4 linked regions of the Arabidopsis thaliana genome follow. The protein of the gene in region 3 interacts with the protein of the main gene of each other region in a pairwise test. Each region holds a gene or a part of one and is shown on either strand. Other genes may lie near its edges. The genes, in order: AT3G24860, AL6, AT3G58630 and AL7.

Evidence for each region.
Region 1: the proteins of AT3G58630 (region 3) and AT3G24860 interact in a two-hybrid assay, tested with the Arabidopsis thaliana proteins (one large-scale study listed by BioGRID).
Region 2: the proteins of AT3G58630 (region 3) and AL6 interact in a two-hybrid assay, tested with the Arabidopsis thaliana proteins (one large-scale study listed by BioGRID).
Region 4: the proteins of AT3G58630 (region 3) and AL7 interact in a two-hybrid assay, tested with the Arabidopsis thaliana proteins (one large-scale study listed by BioGRID).

Annotation. Positions count from the first base shown.
Region 1 is NC_003074.8:9,072,013-9,075,687, reverse strand, and holds AT3G24860 (Homeodomain-like superfamily protein), read right to left. Parts: upstream 2,066-3,675; 5' UTR 2,047-2,065; coding exon 1,114-2,046; 3' UTR 1,006-1,113; downstream 1-1,005. Other genes in the region: AT3G24870 (Helicase/SANT-associated, DNA binding protein), read left to right, coding at 1-451; AT3G24850 (B3 domain protein (DUF313)), read right to left, coding at 3,504-3,675.
Region 2 is NC_003071.7:650,182-655,569, reverse strand, and holds AL6 (alfin-like 6), read right to left. Parts: upstream 2,995-5,388; 5' UTR 2,734-2,994; coding exon 2,637-2,733; intron 2,463-2,636; coding exon 2,430-2,462; intron 2,249-2,429; coding exon 2,020-2,248; intron 1,435-2,019; coding exon 1,308-1,434; coding exon of another isoform or gene 1,234-1,307; coding exon 949-1,233; 3' UTR 585-948; downstream 1-584. Other genes in the region: LOV1 (NAC domain containing protein 35), read right to left, coding at 4,921-5,388. UniProt on the Arabidopsis thaliana protein: Histone-binding component that specifically recognizes H3 tails trimethylated on 'Lys-4' (H3K4me3), which mark transcription start sites of virtually all active genes.
Region 3 is NC_003074.8:21,682,895-21,688,081, forward strand, and holds AT3G58630 (sequence-specific DNA binding transcription factor), read right to left. Parts: upstream 3,146-5,187; 5' UTR 2,878-3,145; coding exon 1,953-2,877; coding exon of another isoform or gene 1,942-1,952; exon of another isoform or gene 1,075-1,941; coding exon 1,034-1,074; 3' UTR 1,032-1,033; intron 928-1,031; 3' UTR 636-927; downstream 1-635. Other genes in the region: TTL4 (tetratricopetide-repeat thioredoxin-like 4), read left to right, coding at 1-65; AT3G58640 (Mitogen activated protein kinase kinase kinase-like protein), read right to left, coding at 4,259-4,341, 4,441-4,513, 4,592-4,880, 5,072-5,187.
Region 4 is NC_003070.9:4,960,758-4,966,494, forward strand, and holds AL7 (alfin-like 7), read right to left. Parts: upstream 3,759-5,737; 5' UTR 3,398-3,758; coding exon 3,301-3,397; intron 3,086-3,300; coding exon 3,053-3,085; intron 2,538-3,052; coding exon 2,309-2,537; intron 1,909-2,308; coding exon 1,782-1,908; intron 1,687-1,781; coding exon 1,414-1,686; 3' UTR 1,024-1,413; downstream 1-1,023. Other genes in the region: AT1G14500 (Ankyrin repeat family protein), read left to right, coding at 1-214, 310-1,023. UniProt on the Arabidopsis thaliana protein: Histone-binding component that specifically recognizes H3 tails trimethylated on 'Lys-4' (H3K4me3), which mark transcription start sites of virtually all active genes.

The sequences.
Region 1 (3,675 bases), about 13 Mb from region 3:
GTCCCAAGCTGAATGTATGCCACGTGTTCCACAGTCTGTAACCAATACCACCCAAACTGCTAGTATGGGTACGACCAAGGGTATGCCTCAAGCGAGTAATGATTTGAAAAACATAAAAGCAGTTGGTTCTACTGCGGTGCCTGCTTTGGAACCTCCATCTTGTGTTGCTTCTGTGCAAAGCACTGCTTCGAAAGTAGTAAACAATTCCAATACAGATTCAGCAGGAAATGATCCAGTATCAACACCGAACCAAGGACTAGCTCAAAAGCACGGGATCAAGGGCGTTACACAGAGACAACAACAGTCTCTACCTTCAGAAGAAAAGAGACCGAAATTGCCAGAGAAGCCGACTGTACAAAATCAGAAACACCTTGCTTCTGAGGAGCAGCCTCATTTAGAAGAAGCACAAGAATTATCATCTTCCAAGCCTCCTGATACAAAAGTGGAATGAGAGGCATGACAGATGAACCTAGAACCTTGAGTAGCTGTAGATCCTGCAAAGCTTAACGCTGGCCCTTACCGACAACAACCCTGTACAGGAACCCAAACTGGTTTGTGTCCTCCACCTTCAGAGTCGGGTCTCTTTTTGGCATTAACATCTTGAAGCTGCTGGTGGTCTTTGGATTTGGCTGAGAGTATAACATAACAAACTCTACAGATTGTGGAGTTTGCAGATTTGGTAAGGCCAGAGGGAGATCAATAGGGAAGAAGTTGGTGGATAGGATAAAATTCATGCAGGTCTTTTTGCCTCTTTTGATGAACACAAAGAGAAGAAGGTATATCATAATGTAAATTACCCACTTGCATCATAGAGAAGTAGTCTCTTCTTCTTCCCATCTTTTGGTTTGGGAGAGAGTAGAAACAGTTTATAATGTTTTGTATAGAAGTCTCTACTCCTCCATCCTTGTGGCATATACTTAGGGCCCTTTTTTAACCTTTTCCTCTAACTTATTCTCTTGTAGGTTTAGGTTAATTTGATGAATGTATCATTGTTCTTTTATGGTTAAAAAAAAAGTTCACTTCACTCCCATAAACATTAGCTTACATAGTGCATTTCTTCAAATCCGTTACCTATGTTACAAATCTAAAAGCAACAATGACTAAATCTCTACGTTAGAAAGAATCAAAAGCATTGTTGATAAATTGAAGAAGCTGAGTTTGAGAACTCTGAATCAAATTGATTCTACGAATCTCCATTTCCTTACGAAGTCTCACAGTCTCTTTAGCAAACTCAATCTTCTTCTTCTCCATTACCATTACTCTCTCAGCAAACGCCCTAATCTCCGCTGCAACGGCTCGCATTCCTTTCCTCCGCCTCTCACCACCGTCTCCATCGTTCCTCTTCCTCTTCGATGATCTCTCTTTTTGTCCCCATGACAACAATCCTCCACCAACTCCAGCAAATCTGTTAACAGTTCCAGGTCTTCTCAATATGTAATTAATACTCCTCGATTTGCTCTGTCTCTCATCTTCTTCTTCCTCTTCTTCGTAGTTATTGTTATCCTCTTCTTCATCTTCTTCTTCGTCGTCTACGTAGCGATTATTCGAATTAGGAGGAAGACGAGTGAGAGGACGAGCTGAGATCGGAGCAGGATTTGAAGAATCCAATTCCTCCATTTGATTATAGAAAGGCCAAATTGAGATAGGTCCCATACTCTGTCTCTCAGATCGGAATCTTTTACGCATCTTCTCGATCTTATGCCTACACTGTGTAGATGTCCGTTCAACGCCGGAACGAGATGAGGCAGCAACGGCGATCTCTTCCCAGTGAGTTGATTTTAGAGGACCACGACCAATTGCGAACCATTTCTCTTTGTATGATTCGATTAAGAGGAGGGTCTCGTCTTGAGTCCAGAGAACAGGTTGGGTTTTTCTGGCGACGGCGGAGGTTGATGCGGCTAAAGCTACGACGGTGGTGTGCGGTGGTGGAGAGGATGGATTCGTGGGTTGAGGAGGAGAGGGTGGTTGTTTCTGATGCGGCGGAGTAGCGGCAGAATTAGGGTTTGAATCAGAGGGAGGAGAGGAGGTCGGCGAAGGCGTCGCCATGGTTTAGTGTAACAATGTTAATTGGTGCTTCGGATTTTGTCAGTTTAACTCCAACTCGGATCTTTGGGCTTTTTTTGTCTTCTTGTTGATTTTTTAAATTTTGGGCCCAACAAAAATTTACTAGACCAACCCACTTAGAGGAAGTAAAAATTTACTTCTCTTTTTTTACTCAGAGGAAGTAAAAAGTATCGGAGGAACAAAAGAGATAAACTCATGCAGAACTCCTTTACTTATTCAACACAATAGTCTAACTTGTAGGGATTCATTGAAGAGAAATTGACTAATTCTTCCTAACAACTGACAAGTAGAACAAGGAGAAGCAACTTTTCTCCATGAAACAAACCAAGAGTTTGAGGTGATGCCTTAGCATTCTTCGAAACAATCAATCACTTCAGCATATTTGGTGAGCAAGTTTATACCCGAGAGAAAGCCCAAATATGTTTACTGGGTTTATATTCAGATAGTCTTAGCTAAAGTCGATCTAATCACTTCACCATATGTTTTTTTGTTATTCTGTATCAGATCATCTAGAAAGGATTGTGTTCTTCCCGCGACGAAAAATTCCCTGGAGGCTTCGATAAAGATGGTCTTGCTTTTGCTGCAAACAGCAAAACAGCTTATGTGGTCAGCCACTACTGCAGTTATCTCTGTTTTTCAACCAGCCTTCCAAGTTGTGCCTAGGCAAACCTGCGTTGATGAGATCCTCCTCTCATTTTCTCTCTAATCGTTTCTCATCCTCTTCACTGCAATTTCCTCCTTCTTCCATCAACGGCTGCTAAGTGAGCAAAACGAACAAAAAATTTAGTTGGAATATGACAAGAGATGAGCGTGATGTCTCTCACATGTAATATATATGGTTTGAGGGTGAAGTAATAGTAGCAATGCAGACTTCGGATATGAGATTCAAATATAATCAGGTTTCAGCTTGGAAGTTTCTGCAGTGTCTTGGCCAGCACGAATGCATTCCCTGTGTTAAAGGACGTCGTACTTATTCAAGTGGCAGAAGGAAGCAATTGTAGCAAAACCTGTCATTGGCAACAAATTTTGTTCCTGATTTGATCATTTAGTAGAAACCTGTCACTTAGTAGAAAACAACCCTGGTTTTGATTGTATTGAGCATTTCTCATGAATGTACCATAACATGTAACCTTTTCACAATTGGATCAATGTCATCACACAAAATTAGACTTTGAGATATATTACAAGAAATCGAAAGGTAACTAAAGTAGACCAAACAACAAACCAGATTCATGTCAAAAGTGCTAAGTACATACGATTATAATGATCTGAAACAATAGAAGGAACAAGTTACTAAGAAGAAAGAGGAACCCAAGTTTCTTTAGTTTAACTCTTTCAAGAAATTACTAGACAAAAGAATCTTCAGAATCTCCTGAAAATCACTGTGCGTGTTAATCAACCAAGTTATAGTCACAAGACTCACAACAGACATAAGATACTTAGCAGAGACAGAGAGCAAGAGAAGAGCTACTCTGTTCCATGGCAAAGCAAAGGACTCCACGACACCTGAACGACCAAACACTAATGTTGTCGCCTTCTTTCAATCCGTTAGCCTCAACGACATCGTTCCACCCACAAATCAGATTGTAGTTCCAGCTTCCTTTTCCTGAT
Region 2 (5,388 bases), on a different chromosome or scaffold from region 3:
TTCATTTAACGTACTAATGTTTCATCGAACCTTTTATTTTTAGTTTAATTAATTTAGGGGTATAATTGTCATAAAATTAAAATAGTAGAAGACAACGGTGTTTTTTTTGTCAGTTAATTATCATTATTCTGAGGATAGATAGTCATATTACCCAAAAAAAAAAAAGTAAACTAATAAATGAGTGGCATGATATATAAGCTACATGCCCAAACACACATCCTTGTCTAACATTGGGCTCAAATAGATCTAGTCAAGTAATAATTTGGGCTGTCATAATTTATCAACTTCAATCTTTTTTTTTATATATATAGCAAAAGTTCAAAAGACAACAAGATTGATGGCAATGTATATTTGCACTATGAAAAAACAATAGAAGTATTAGATAATTAATACTTGAACCATTTTTTCAAATGAAACAGTTTTTCTTTTTGACAATAATGAAACAGTTTTAAAAAAAATTAGAAGTATTAATCCTGACTGATACCTTTTGACCAATACCAATTTCATAATATATGGTGATATAATCAACTTAACTACCAATCATATGAAACAAAATAAATAGCTAAATAAAAGAGAGAGTAAGATAAAAGATGAATAAAAAGACTACATAACGACATAATAGTTTTTACAATTTTAGCAAATTACTAATCAGAAAAAAAAAAAAAAAATTACTAATCAGAACTAAAATATCTTAAACAGACCAAACAAATTAGTAGTAGAATTAACATTAACAACAACAAAAATCCAAAAAAAGAAAAGAAAAGACATCACCAACTGTAGATAGTCTCAATCCAACAATAAAGACTAAGCAATACAATTTTTTTTTTTACCTGCTTACATCTTCTAAGTCCCTTTTACTGGCATTTCTTATAAACTGGAAACTTCACCTTCTTCTTTCATAATTTTCTCCTAACTCGCTTTACCTTTTCATAATTTGGTTATTTAACTTCAAGGTCTAGCTCTCTTGTTACTGCAAGTTGGGCATTTGTAATGCTTGATGTGTTCTGCTTTTGCAGGTGTTATCTTCACACATTTTCCATGGAACCATTTCTCACACGCGTCGCAGCAAATCCAGAACTCATCTGTACCGTAGTTGTCTCCACAAGCACCACAAACCGCACCTTGTTCATCGTCTTCACTCTCATCTTCACTCTCATCTTCTTCTTCTTCTTCTTCTTTTGGCGGTGGAGATGACATCTTTGCAACCTTTGAGAGAGATTCGGATTGGCGAGACTGTTTGTGAGGAATACAAAGAGATAAAACTTAGCAGAGATTGATAAAACAAAATGGTGAAACAGAAGAGATACCTTGACGCCACTAGGTTTGCTTTTGCTATTATTGTTGTTAACAGATAGATCCTTGGACTGCTTTGCATTGCCGCTCACAACTTCGAAAATGGTTGGCAGCTCATTAATCATCTGGAACAGCCTCTTCCTGAAAAAGAATCGGTCCATGGCATAAGCTTAAAGGCAAGTGATAGCTAAGTTGTTCAAACAAACCTAATGCCAGAGAAGAATTTGATGAGATTCAGAATCAACAACTCATTCTGCTCAAGCTTTTCGTTTAACCTGTCAGCTACCAGTATCAAATAATGGATTCAGTGATTGTTGCTGAGCTCTCAACAAAGGTACAATGCAGTGGAAACTACCTAGGCTAATTACAGTGATCCTGCACAAGACTAATACAAGAAGTACTAATCAGACTTAGAGGCACATATCACATCTATTGACTAATATATCTATCTCAATAACATTGATCCAGATTGGTGCGATTCATAACTCTAGTCACTTCAAAATAGAAACTGGGAACCACTTACAAAAAGAGTTACACAGAAACCGACCCTATAAATAAGATCACGTGAGTTACAAAAATCCACACAGAGATTGTTGTATCAGACAAATAGACAAAACAAGAGGATGCTAGAATGATCATTATAACCTTACCACACATGAGTACACCCAATATTGTCATAATTGAGATGCAACACTCAAAAACACTGAGCTTGAGAAGGACCCTTACCTCTCATTCTTGCCAAATCCGAAACGTGCACCAAAGTAAAATGCAACAGAAAGCAGCCATGAATCACTGTGAACTGCGACCAAAGATACCCAGTCCTTTTCTTGCATTCCGTCTCTAGCGAAATTGATGCCTAAAGCTGGTTCAGGAAGCTCAGGAGGAACTTCCTCAACGGGTAGATTAACCTCCCATGTCTCATTTGGAAGTCCATAGAGACACAAATTCTCCTTCTCTACATAAACAAGAATGAAACACCTTAAAGAAAAACCACACAGAGGAGGACTAACTAACTCAATCTTTAACCAACACAATTCAACAACATACAAGCTCAACAACTTCAACAAAACATTTCACTAGAAACTATAGAAGCTAAGCAAGACTAATTTTTTAAAAGTTGTGAAGAAATAACTCACCAGGATCACACGTTTGGTAAAACTTCACCATATCTGCATAAACAAAACACAAAACCCAGAATCGTCAAATCTCACAAAAGAAACCCAAAATAAAAAAAGTTCTTCTTTTTTAACAAATGAAAAACCCAAATGCCACAAAATCGTAACTCTGTAGATACTTATCATTCTGATTCGCAAGTGAGAAACAAGAATCAGACCAAAACTGACCATTAGTGAGAGCTTTAATAAGACCAGCTCGTCGACCTCTGAAGTCGCTAAAGACCTCTTCAACAGTACGAGGTATTGGATGAGTAATTCCCTCCATTTCACAAACGATGTCGCCGGAGAAATCGCCGGAGAATATGAGTACTCCGGTCAAAATCAAAATCTGAGACAAATGTTTCCAGGCAAACAAAAGAAACCCAGAAGGAAAAATATTCACTTTGGGGTTTCGGATTTGGAGAAATGAAATTTGTAAATCTCTGAAAGAGAGAGTTTTTTTTTAATTTGGGGGAAATTGAGAAAAGAAAAAAAGAGAAAGGAGCTACAAACCCTAAAACGATAAAACAAAAGGGACCGATCAAAGATTAATTTTGGGGCTGAGAAGTAATATTAATAAAGACAACATTGTCTATTTTATTATTTTTGTATTAATTAAATAAAGACAACATTGTGTATTTTATTATTGTTTATGTAATAATATAAAATCTATTTATTAATTCCGATCTACATACCCTATTTTTTTCCGAGCTACATTCCCCACTCCCAAATTTTACATTATTTTTATTTTGGTCAAAGACATTTATTTAAATTTTATTTTATTTTTAAAAGTGTCGACGAAAAAAACATGTATTTTTTTTTTTTAACATATTCATTTCCATTAATATTACGAAAAAAAAACATGTTTTTATACGTAGGCTGAGGCATCCAAATTGATCCACAAATTTGGTTTTTGTTTTCAATTAACTTGACCTTAAAGATAAAAGTTAAAAGTTAAAACATTCAGGTCCATCTTGTATTGTACAGAAATAGCATGCCTGGCCCATTAAAGGATAGTGGGCTTTTATAGTAACCTAGGGGAAATGAGATTTGAAGTTTTCAACGATCATCACATTCACGTATTTTGAAAGTTTTTTTCACGATATACACCAGAAATAGATATTTTGAAAGAGAAAGCTACTAAAAAACGGAAAACATTTTGCCTTTTATCACTCAAAAAAATAAAAAATTCATCAAATTTTTAATTATTTTATTGTTTTTATGTGTGATTCTAGATGTAAGAATTAAGAAACGAACCAATATTAATCGGATTCGTTATCTTTGAATATTTTTGCGTTAAGCACGTCGTACTAGCTAGCGAATACGTTTACCGCAACTGTAATCTAATTCGTCACAGAATATCAATGATGTGGTATAATCAACTATAATCTTCTTTTTTCTTTGGGCAAAATCAACTATAATCTATGAATATATACTTACTAATATAGGTGATAGACATATATTATTTAAAATAATCTAAGAAAACATGCAAATACGGTTACATCGACCGGTTAGAAAGGGAAAAAACTTTAAAATTAGTACTTTCGTATCATATTCAAGTCAGTATATATTAGGATTTTGCCACATTACATATATTATTAAAGATTGTTAATAATTAGGATTAAAAAGACTAGTATGAGAGTTAAGTCAAGTTTAAATTTGTTTTTCTCATTGAGAAAAAGGGAACTGATTTCTTACAACATACAACTGTTCATGCTGGTCATATCTGACAAAATCACGGGAACAACTGCTCTTACCAAATATTGCACGTCCTATGCTTTTTTTTTTTGTCAAACCCTAATTAGTCTTATATTTACAAAGACAAAAAACTAGCTAACATCTTTTATCTTTATATATTTCTATCTCAAAATTAGTTGTTGAATTCTTAAGAGTTAGTGGATTGTTTATCTATAAAGTCGCACTAACAGGTAACTAAAATTAAACATCTTGGATCTAATGCATGTAAATGACAATGCAAAATGAATTCTAATAAGTGATGAATAAACAACAAAAAATATCAACATTCAATTTGAAATTTTGAAATGGAATGAAGACCAAATTAAATATCACTAGGTTGGATTTACGGTTACTATTGTTATGGTTTAGTTAGTGTTTGGTTTTAGTCTGGTTTCGGTTAGGGCTCGTACATGAAAATCTAATCCAATAAGTTTATTTCTTCTTTGGTTTGTTTGAGAACTTTTGATACGGATTGCACTCCTTAGTCATTTTGTATTCATATATTACAGTGAATTTTTTTTTTTTAACTACGTTGAATCTAGCTTAAAGAAATTAACTTTAACACAAGAAAAAAAAAACTACTTAATTGACTATATATGTTGAGAATCAGTTCCATTACATAAACTCGCAGTAATCAATCATTGTCTATCGCCATAACAATATATAAGGAGTATGAAAATATGGCAAAGCAGCATTAATAATTATTGTCATGGATAATAATCATGATCTAATTAAATTACTTAAAAGGAATATTAGTATAGTGATCTCTGTTTCCATCTGGTACTATTGGATTCCACATATCCCACAAAGCATTGTTTGGAATCGTTCCTGCAGGAATCATGTTCATAGCTAACGCCGCTTGAGTTTGAGGCATTAGCGTTGTCGCTGTAGTCGCCGCAGCCACCAATTGTAATGCGTTTGCGTTAGCATTTTGTTGTTGAGTATGATGAAACTGTTGAGCAATTTGAAAGTATTGGTGATTGATGTTACCTCCATCTGATATTTGGTAGTTAACTAGTCTTTGAAGATCGTCAACAATGGCAGTTTCATCATCGTCTTGATGATTTCTCGTAGAGACTATCAATGTGTTGTTGCTTGTGTCGTAAGGCATTGGACGATATATGTTTTGATTGGCTAGAGCAATGGTAACGTCAGAGTTACTGTTTGTGGTCGTTGTTGTTGTGCTGCCGTCGCCGGAATATTC
Region 3 (5,187 bases):
TGAAGGAAATGGTATGTCCTAGTCATCAGTTACTAGAGGACTCTGTTACGCATTTCCTCTTATAACATATCTCTCTTCTCATTCTTTCAAATCTTTAGTCTTCACGAACGTAAATTGATTCAAAGAGCCATTTTGTTAATTGAAATTTTCATTCTTTTGTTTTGCTTTACTGTATTATCATATTGAAACCTGCTCCGATTGTATTAATCCGAGGAAAATGCATGTTTCTCAATTATCGTTCATGCAAAAAGGCCCCAATTTAATGGTTCATTTGGTTTTCTTATTTTTGTTTGTTTTAGAAACTCTTACTTATTACAAATGGGTCCTGGTGGGCTGGGTTACTTGTAATAACACTGCTTTCAATAAAATATCCATTGACAAATAAACTATAGTTTCATAGAAGGAATTTGAGGCGCCAATACAGAACACAAACTATGACAAAGTCTCAATGAGAGCAAAAATGATTTGCCTCACATTTTGGGCAAAGGTTATGAATCTCAAGTTCTTAACATTTCATATTAAAGTCTCTTAAACTTAACATGTTATGGAGTTGAGAACTTGAGATTTGTAATAGATAAATAATGAATTACTAGGATATAGCGGTATATCCCTGAAGATTTTTTTTTTATTTTCCACCTCATTAAATCATAAATTAGAACACAAACTAAGAAATACCAAACAATACTAACCAATATAATTTTGCTGAAAACTGTTTCTTGTACTGTTTCATTGTGTAGATATACCAATATAACGTCACCAATTTTTTTTTCAATCCTGGGTTGGAATCGGAATCTTCTAAAAGGGTTAAAATTTACAAAACAAAGAGAAACTCATGTTTCTTTGTTACCATATCTTCTATTGGTTGGTGGAAGAACGCTGACTTTCTCTCATCTTCATCAAAATGGCTACAATCACAAACTCATGATGCTGCAAACAAAACCAACGACTTAGCCCAACAAGTCTACACATTTTGTACATAGGCAAAGTTTTGATCGACTAGGGAGTTTTAAATATAAATAAAGGAGTCGTACCTCTAGAAGTAACTAGGGAAATCCATCATCCCATAATCAAGAGCTGCATAAACAGAAAAAGTTCACTTATTATTCATACATAGACCTGCTGCTGATAATTTGTTCTAGTGGTCAAACATGTAATGCAAAGAGGAATTCATCAAATTAGCAGGTGACTAACAAGTAAAGAAATATGGACCAAGCGAAAACGAAAGAAACAAATGTCTGTCGTGTAATGCCATAGCCAAGTTGCAGGAAAGATTTGATGCATCCAAAAAAAAATCAAATTTTGTCTCCTGAGACTATATGTCAGAAACTAATGGTTGATGCATCCGAAAAATCCTTCCACATATCATGCATTCTCTTTTCAAACATCCATACCCATTATTTCCTAACTTTCGAAGCAGTTAGCATGTAAACTCACAATCTTCTCAATCAACTAACCAACAAAAAGGCTACTCTACACTCAAAACTTACTGGGCATCACACTCAAAACACTTCACAAAGCACTCATGCTTAACAACAAACAGAAGCAGATTCAAGTTTCTAGCTCATGAACTGCTTCCCAACTAATGCTCACATCAGTCATTGTAGAAAAACTTTCCACACTCAGACTATAATTACAAGAAACACAAGTAACAAAGCAACAACATCTAGGAGAAAAATGTAACCAGGACCTCCTCCTTACCATGAATACCAATACTTGCTACTAATTAGTTTATTTTTGTTCAGATTCATCATCTCTGTGCGATATCAATTTGTTCTTGTACTTTGATTGGGTTTATTATAGCCGTCGTTGGCACAGAGACTATCACAAGTAAAAAGGTAAAATTTGTTTCTACTCTTATGCTATAGTCACTGTTACACAGCTAAACAATGGAGAAAGACATAGAATTCTGAACAGATTACGAAATACGGCGAGAGAAAGGATTCAGGTCTCACCGGCGGAGGCGGAGGAAGTCGGTCCTTTGGAGCCAGAGGTACGCCGGAGCTTATGAAGACGTACCTGCATCTCCGTGAACAGTTGCATCCTATGGCATTCCAATTCCTTAGCGAATCTCATTCTCTGCTTCTCCAATTCAACCATTTCCTTCCTCTTCTTCTCCTCGACTCTCTCGTATATCTGTCCAAGCCTCTCAATTGCGTCGGCAACTTCCTTGTAGCCTTGCTTCTTCTCAATTTTCCTCTCCCGCTTCTTGTTACTCCCGCTACGACCGCTCGATCTAGACCTTGAACCTTCCGAGTCATCTTCAGACGCCGGACACGCCGCCGCCGCTGCGGCTGCCGCGAATGCGTTGAGATTCCCGCGAAATCCGAGTAAATCGTCACCGGCGTGAGGTATAATCGCCGGCGATGTCGCCGGACGTCTGGGGATCGCCGATCGTGGAGCGACCGGAACTGGATTAATGGACATCGGAAGTGATAGCCTCTGGTGCGGGATGTTATCAGTTGAATCAGGATTACTAGACGTCGGAAAGCTTTCCCGGAGAAGGTCATCGAGAGCGGAGAAGAAAGGCCAAGGGCTGATGTAGGCACCGGGATTGGATTCCGAAACCCTAGCCTTCTCGACTTTGTACTTCTTCTTCAGAGTATCGATCCGGTTTTTACACTGAACGTCGGTGCGATACGGCTGCGATTTGGCGGCGGAAACGTTTCGACCGGTGTTGTAGTGACGGTCGTTAACGGCGTTAGCCACCTCTTGCCAGTGTTTCTGACGGAGATTACCTCGGCTGAGGTCGACGTAGCGATTACCCCAGGCTTGGATGAGCGTGAAGGTCGCTTCCTCGCTCCAGCAATCTTCACGAGAAAGCGTCGCCGGCGAAGGTCGGGAAGATCCCGGCGAAAAGGAATCGTTGACGGTGTCCATTATAAGGTGAACGACGGCGAGTTAGATCGAAGAAGATGAACGGTGAGGATGAGATAAACGGAGGTGAACGGTGACAGTGACGGTAACGGAATTGAAGAGAAACGAAGTTCTTTTTTTTTAAAAAGACAAACCAGCGTTTTTGCTTTGTGTGCATGTACTAAACCGTGAGCCAGACTAAACGAGCCAGCTCTAGCTAATTTATATACATCGTTAATTTGGTTTTTATTTTTTAACAGCTAAAACGTTTTAATTTTTATTTTATTTTGTTAATGTTGACTACCGAACAAGATAATATTTCTCTATATTTTTTTTTCTTACAAAAGCTTTAAATATTCATTTTAATATGCAATTTGATAAGTCTAAAGTTAATTAGTAATATTATGTGTGGTAGTTCTAATTAAATTTCATTATGAATCGTTGGTAATATATTTTTTTTTTGGGTGAATCGTTGGTAATATAATATGTAAGTTTTGGTTGATATTTTCCTTTTTTTTTGTTGTCTAACTTAATTAGAATATGATAACGGTTCCAAATGAATTGGTATCACATCCTAAATAGTATGTAATTGACAAATTTATAGCATGGTGAAATTTCTGAAACTGTAGATTGTAGAGAAAAATCAAAGCTAATTAAAAAATCGGATATGGCTCGTTAGATGTTTGGTTTAGTTTCCGTAAAATGTAATGATAGTACTGCCAAGTAGAATATGATCAAACGATCTATTTTTGTAAGTTAATGACACATTGCTATATTAGAATAAGTTATTCTAAGTTTTGTGTGTTTAGGTGATAAGCTAAATGGGTAACGCGAACTACTAGTATCGTTGTTATATCACCGAATTTAAACTCGGTACTAGAATGTATGTTGTTGTCAAATAGGTAATGACAAATTACGGCTACGAACATAAAATCGTTTTTTCTTTAAATAACTAGAAGTTCTGCAAAAACTGTAGTTTGCTCTTTTTTCTTTGTCAATCAAAGCTCCTTTTCATTTCTTAAGGCACGAAATATAAACGAAAAGTACATGTATTTGTCCGTAATTTTCTTATAGCAAATGCAAAGCAGGGAACAAACCTTATGGTACGAAAAAGAGTAGCAAGCTTGATCATTTAAACTGAAAGAATGAGCAACTCTTCTCACCTTTTGTAAAATTTATAAGACTTACTTTTTTGTTTCAGAGGTTTTGAAATTTACGAATTTGCAAATGATTAAACGGAAAAGAGTTCCACAAAGCTTTTTGTGGATGTGAAAGCGCCAAAGTTCTTTTGTACAAACTCAAAGGAGAAAGCCAACAATATTCAAAAAAAAGAAACGAAGAAAACAAAAACCTCTCTCGCTGCAAAGTTTTATATTCACAGAAGGAAAATATGATTGAGAGAAAGTTAGCAAAGCGAATACTCACAATCCAGCAAACGAGAGAGTATCTCATTGCAACTCGGTCTTTGTTCCGGTTCTGTCCAACAATCTGCGAACAAGAGACAACACATCAGAAAAGGATACTCCATAAACCCCAAACAAAGCTTCAGGAAAAACGAAATAACAACACTTTGACAAGTCACAAGACCTGCAATAAGCTTTCCCAGTGGTCCTTCAGGAATCTCAAGCCGAGCTCCCTCGTAAGCAATAGCATAAACAACCTGAGAAGAAATATGAGGAAACTTGTTATATATACACATATGTCACTAAAGAGTCTTCTTCTTGTTCAGTTAAGTTACCCGTTCAGGCGGTACTCCTTCCCAAGGTCTGGTTAAAGTGCATAGCTCCCACATTATTACACCTAAACTGAAGATATCACACTTTTCTGAGAAGGGCTCATTGCGGATAAGTTCAGGAGCCATCCACTCTGGAGTTCCTGCAGAGACTGTGTCTCTCATTGTTGTCCCTGTCATTATTCTCGACAGCCCAAAATCACAGATCTTGACTGTCCATTTGTTGCTCAAAAGACAGTTTGCACTCTTTATATCACGGTGTACTATCCCCATCCGGTGTATACACATCAATCCCCTAGCAACATTTTACAAGTTTAAACGCTGTTTGTTAATTAAAGATGATTACGAAACTTTCTCATCGAGACACAATTCCAGGTCCTATTTGGAAGTGTTATTGCCTTCTCCTCAAACCAAAATTTTCCATATTAATACTACATACTATGTTGGAAAGAAGGATACACGGTTTTGTATGGAAGATGAAATTACCTGCAAATGTCCCGCAGCATCTTTAGCTTCCTCCGCCAGCTTAACCTCTTTTTTTGTCCACTCAAGTGGAGCAAGTAATACAAAGATCCCATTTCCATGTACTCAGTGATCAGTGA
Region 4 (5,737 bases), on a different chromosome or scaffold from region 3:
CCCTGTATGTATTCAAGATGTGAGTGTGAATGGCCATAACGCTCTTCACCTTGCTGTGATGAATGATAGATTTGAAATTCTTCAAGTCCTCACCGGTTGGCTCCAAAGAATGAGCCAAAAAGATTCTGCTTCCACCGAATCTGATTTCTTGAATAGAAAAGATTTAGCACACAACACGCCTTTGCATCTTGCAGCATATAAGGAAGATCATCAGGTATAGTTCTTAAAGCTACTAAACTTTTTTTAGTTTTGTATGTTTTCTGTCATGTTGTGTCAAAATTGGCCTGAGTATAAAAGATATGTATGCAGGCGGTAAAACTGCTGCTACAGTGTCAGCTGGTGAAACTGAACGAAGTAAATGCGGATGGTTTAACATTCCTTGATATCTTAAGAAACAATGGACAGAGTAGAGACTTGGATAAGGATTTGGAACAAGTTGTTGTAAAAACCGGGTGCAAGGAGGCGGCTTCTCTTCCGCAACTCGAGAAACCGTCTGATCAGTTTAAGTCACCAGTCACTTTCTTGGCTCATTGCTCCATTGGCATCAGACGCCTAAGGTCCGACACTTCAGAAGAAGGCCGTGCAGTCTTCTTGATTATATGTACTTTGATACTCACATCCACTTATCAAACTGCACTCCAGCCTCCAGGAGGTGTACACCAGTCCGAGGGTGGTGGTACCGCAGTAATGAAACAGACATTCTTCATCGTCCTTTGGGTTTCTAACACTATAGGCTTCTGTTGCGCTCTACTCTACACGTTTTGTCTCCTACCAATCGGTAGCTTGTTTACAACATGGTTCTTTTGGATTGGAGCGTCTCTGGGAGTTTCTTATGCGCTTGCTATGGCTATAATCTCACCCAACCCTCTATTGTTTCTTTGTGCGGCCTTTACCTTGTACCTGCTCTTTCCTATGTATCTCTTTATGGAAATTTTCATAGCCCTGAGGCTGAGCCATCTGAAGGCTGCAGTAAATCGAATGTTTGTTACATTTGTGAAACAGAGAGGGACTTTGAGAATCTAAAGATATAACCTCGACAAATTGTTATTGAATGTCATGTTCTATGAGGTAATCAGCTTAATGAGTTTCATCGGGAGCCAAAGTTTAAAACTTTTAAAGCAAGTGAGATACCGAGAAGAAGAAACCACTTGACATAGACTAGAGAGTGCTTAAAAGACAGAATTTTCTCAGAAACTTAAGACAAATTAGTCATAACATTTTAACATTAACAGCAAAAAAAAAGAAAAGAAAAGAGAAAGAGACATTACTAACTGTAAGCTGTCTCAATCCCATTAAAACTACGCAATCAGAAGCCTTTTGTTTCTTCTTCTTCCCACAGCTAAACTCTTGTACTGTCTTCTTAAACTGTGAAAACGTTTTCCTCTTTCACAGGCTCTAATGTTATTATCACTTTCAGGCTTTCATTTTCTTGCTGGTAGTGCAACTTGGGCATTTGTAATGTTTGATATGCTCAGCCTTTGCTGGTGTGATCTTCACGCATTTCCCATGGAACCATTTCTCGCAAGCATCACAACATATCCAGAACTCATCTCCTCCATAGTTGTCGCCACACGCACCACAAACAGCACCTTGCTCGTCATCTTCATCCTCATCTCCGCTCTCATCTTCTTTTCTTGGTGGAGGGGACATCTTTGAAGCCTTAGTGTGAGATTCAGAATGACGAGGCTGCATTAGAAAACAAAGGAGTAAGTAGAGATAAGAACCCAACACAGATACATGGACTGAGAGGGCGAAAAAAAAGAGAAAACAGAAGCTTCTACCTTGCCACCACTAGATTTGCTTCTGCTACTGTTGTGGTTAGCAGATTGATCCTTGGATTGCTTTGCATTGCCAGTTACAACCTCGAAAATGGTTGGGAGATCATTTATCATCTGGAAGAGCCTCTTCCTGAAAGGAATTAATAAGATCAGAGGCAAGATAACTAAACCATTTGAGTCTATAATATCAGAGAAAACAAACAATGTTACTTGGCTATTCAACAAACATGATCTTTGACCTAAATTCTTAAATCTCAATAAATTTTGGTTCAGCTTAGATGGAATTCAATACATTTGTAGGTTCACTTCTCTCTACTGAAGGAGAAAAAATGATGATCACTTCTTCAGGGTTGTTTCACAGAAACAGGATAACATGAGTTTAGTGTGCCAGAGATCGTCACTAGTATCTACAACAACAACTACACGGTGTTTGGATGCTAGAATTATGCAGCTACTATACTAGTCATTGAAGCTTTACCAAACAAGCAAAATTAACAAACACAGAACACTGAGCAGAGAAAGAAACTTACCTCTCATTCTTGCCAAATCCGAAACGTGCACCAAAGTAAAATGCAACAGAGATAAGCCATGAATCACTGTGAACTGCAACCAAAGAAATCCAGTCTTTTTCTTGCATTCCGTCCCTTGCGAAATTGATGCCTAACGCTGGTTCAGGAAGCTCAGGAGGGACCTCCTCAACGGGAAGATTAACCTCCCATGTCTCATTTGGAAGTCCATAAAGACACAAGTTTTCCTTCTCTGCATTAGCAAAAAACGTAATTCACTAAGAAGTCAAGAAGAGAAACCACAAAGAGAACTAACTTCATCTTAGGTACAAATCTCACAAACACTTAAAAAGTCTATAATCTGTTCAAACATCATGAACCAAAAAAACTGTTCAAACAGACAACAACTCTGACAGGAAGATAATCAAAGATATAACACCTAACAGAGGAGTCAACTAGAAAAAGGATCATAACAACAAGTCTACTGCAGATTAGATGTAATCAGGAAGAAGCTAACTAAAACAATCTAACAGAATTTAGAAAAACAAAAGCTGGGAACAAAAAGAATCCGTGAACAAACTCATGAAGCAAAAAAAACGCATGTCCAATTACAATCTCTTCCCTAATTCAGACCCGAAAGGAACTCTTGCACTGAAAAATCTTAACTTTAGCAAAAAAAAAAAAAACACATCTTCCTATAAACAAGATAAGAACCAATGCGTTAGGAAGCTATATACAAGACTTTAAATGGGTAACGAAATAACTCACCAGGGTCACACTGATGGTAAAACTTCTGTACATCTGCAAAACAAAACACACAACAAAAGAACATGAATAAACCCAAAACAGGAAGAAGAAAGCCAAAATCTTTTGGGGGTTTTTTTCTCAGGAAATTAAGAAAACCCAATTGAAGAAACGAGCACTAAACATATAAAAAAAACTCGCAAATCTACAGAAATCATCTAAGATTCGATCAAAAGAAACAGAGTAAATAGAGAAAGAGAGATCGAGCTGACCAGTAGAGAGAGCCTTGATGAGACCAGCTCTACGACCACGAAAGTCGCTAAAAACCTCTTCGACAGTGCGAGGTATAGGATGCTGAATTCCTTCCATAGTATTGCTTCAAAAGCCAAAGACTTTCACAGATGAGAATGAATCAGCCTCACCAAAGAATGCTTCCAAGTATCGAGATGCACTCAGAAACAAAAAAGCCAAGATCGGCTTTTTAGTTTTTCCTTTTGAGGGAATTTTGTATAGTTCGGGGGAGAGTGAAATCTATAAACTTTCGGAGGAATTTATTTCATTTGGGGAAATTGAGAAGAGAGAGCTGTGCTAAGAAAAAAAAACCCTAAAAACGAAAAGGAAAGGAGACAAAAGACAATTTGAGGGATTTGGAAGCATTGGAAGAATAGATTAAAGCGACAACATCTCAACTTTTTTTTTTTTTTTTTAAAGTCACAACCTGTATTTATCTATTTATTTAATTCACTCCAGAAATATAAAGTCGTTTTACTTTTCTTTTGTTTTGGGTCAATATTTATGTGCGCTTTTTTTTCCTGAGGCATGTTCTACAACGAACTGAAGTAATAATACAGTAAATTTCTGCCAGTTTTACTGTGATTAACGTTTAAGAACTGTACTATAATATCCATATCTGTCGATCAATATAATGGAAAGGCTAAAGATTAAAAAAAAATAATGATTTTAAACAAAATTGATGGTTTTACAATATTCTGTCATTAATCTCTAGTTAATAATGAGTTAAATTATACTACTAATAGTTAAAAAGAATGCTTCAAGCTTAATACCGTAGAGAGAGCGAGGGTCTTTATCTGATTTGTTTAATCGTTAATGTTTTTTGTTATTATTTTGGTTTTGTTTATACTACTGTTTTACATGTTTTTGTTAATTTTCATGTGAATTATATTCAAATCAAACTCTACAAAGCTTTAATACATAGAAGTTAGAACTACATTAGGATGGATGACTATGTATTTCCTATCTTTTTGCAGATTAGAATTTGCGGGTAAGTAAGTAAAATGAGGCGTTGATGCTTTTATCCTCAAAAGAACAATCAGTTGTTTTTATGAAGAAGAAAAAAAGAAGAAGAAGTTAGTCACAGTTGGGAGATACTTGACGTGTATCACAAGTTGTCAGATACTTAGCAGAAAGATTAATGGTATAACGTCGAAACCAAAGAAACATTTTGATCTTCATACCAATAATTAAGTTTCCGGATGTTGTCTAAGAATCAGTTTGCTCCATTTCACGTTTCGACCTTATTGACATGTTGAATCATCAGATGACACATGGAAATGATTTTAAAACAATATGTATTTGTTTGGTTTGCTCTTCATCATGGTCTAATGAGCTATTTGCATACAGCATTTTTTAACATGGTTGTCTAATTTGGGATGTAAGTGTCGTTCTTTTGTATAAAGTTGTTTGATGGAGTTTCGTATTGTTTGATTAATTAAAAGGTAGTTTAACTAATAAAATTTAAATATATTTACGAATAATTAGGATTAGGAACACATTCACGTACTTGCCACATTAATAAAAGTAGACTATTAACTTTGTAAACATGTTATTAATCAATATTAAAAATATGCTACTGTCACATGACTCGCCTTCCAAGTTAGCTAACTATTAGTTAACTTCTAATATGTACTTATTAGATATAATAAGTATAAGTTCGAATCAATCTATTGTAATACCAATGTGGAATGAATTCATAACAAACTATCTTTCTCTCAAGGTTCATTCGTAATAGATTCATAAACATTCGATGAATAATGTAGTATCAGCTGACCAGTCAACAATTTTTGTAAAATACTAAGGCAACAAAATCAAGCTGACTATTCAACAATGGGCCTAATCTCACGAAAACGCCCAATTTGAAATCAACGAAGCCCATAACGCAGTGGTCTTCTCCGTCCATCCACCTGAAGCCCACAATTGATTATGGAGATCATCATCCGAAATCTTCAACCAAATCATTTCAACACAAGGCCCTCAACCCCGAAATTCGATGAGAAAAACTTTTCAACATTTTGTCACTGAAATACGGTTCGCATAATATAATGGAGTTCGGGTAAACCTGGTCTGAAATTTGATTACGAAAGGGCTCACAAATGATTTTACTAGTCTTAGTTAATTAAGCTCGAGGATAATGGGGCAATAGTTGTAATTACAAAAGTTATGGGTCATATTTAAAACATAATAAAAATATAAGGACCATAAACTAAAAAGTTTCAGTGTATCTTGCATCACCGAGGCAAGTATGCCAGTAGCCTCTCCAAGCATTTCAACAATCTTTGCCTTCCACCCGAAGGAAAGCCAATCCTATAAAGAGGGACGAAATCAGATGTAACTTAGCTTGCACATCCCCGAAAACACCAATATTCTTAAAGATTCCACATTATTTCCTGAATAAAGAAGAACCAAAAGGAA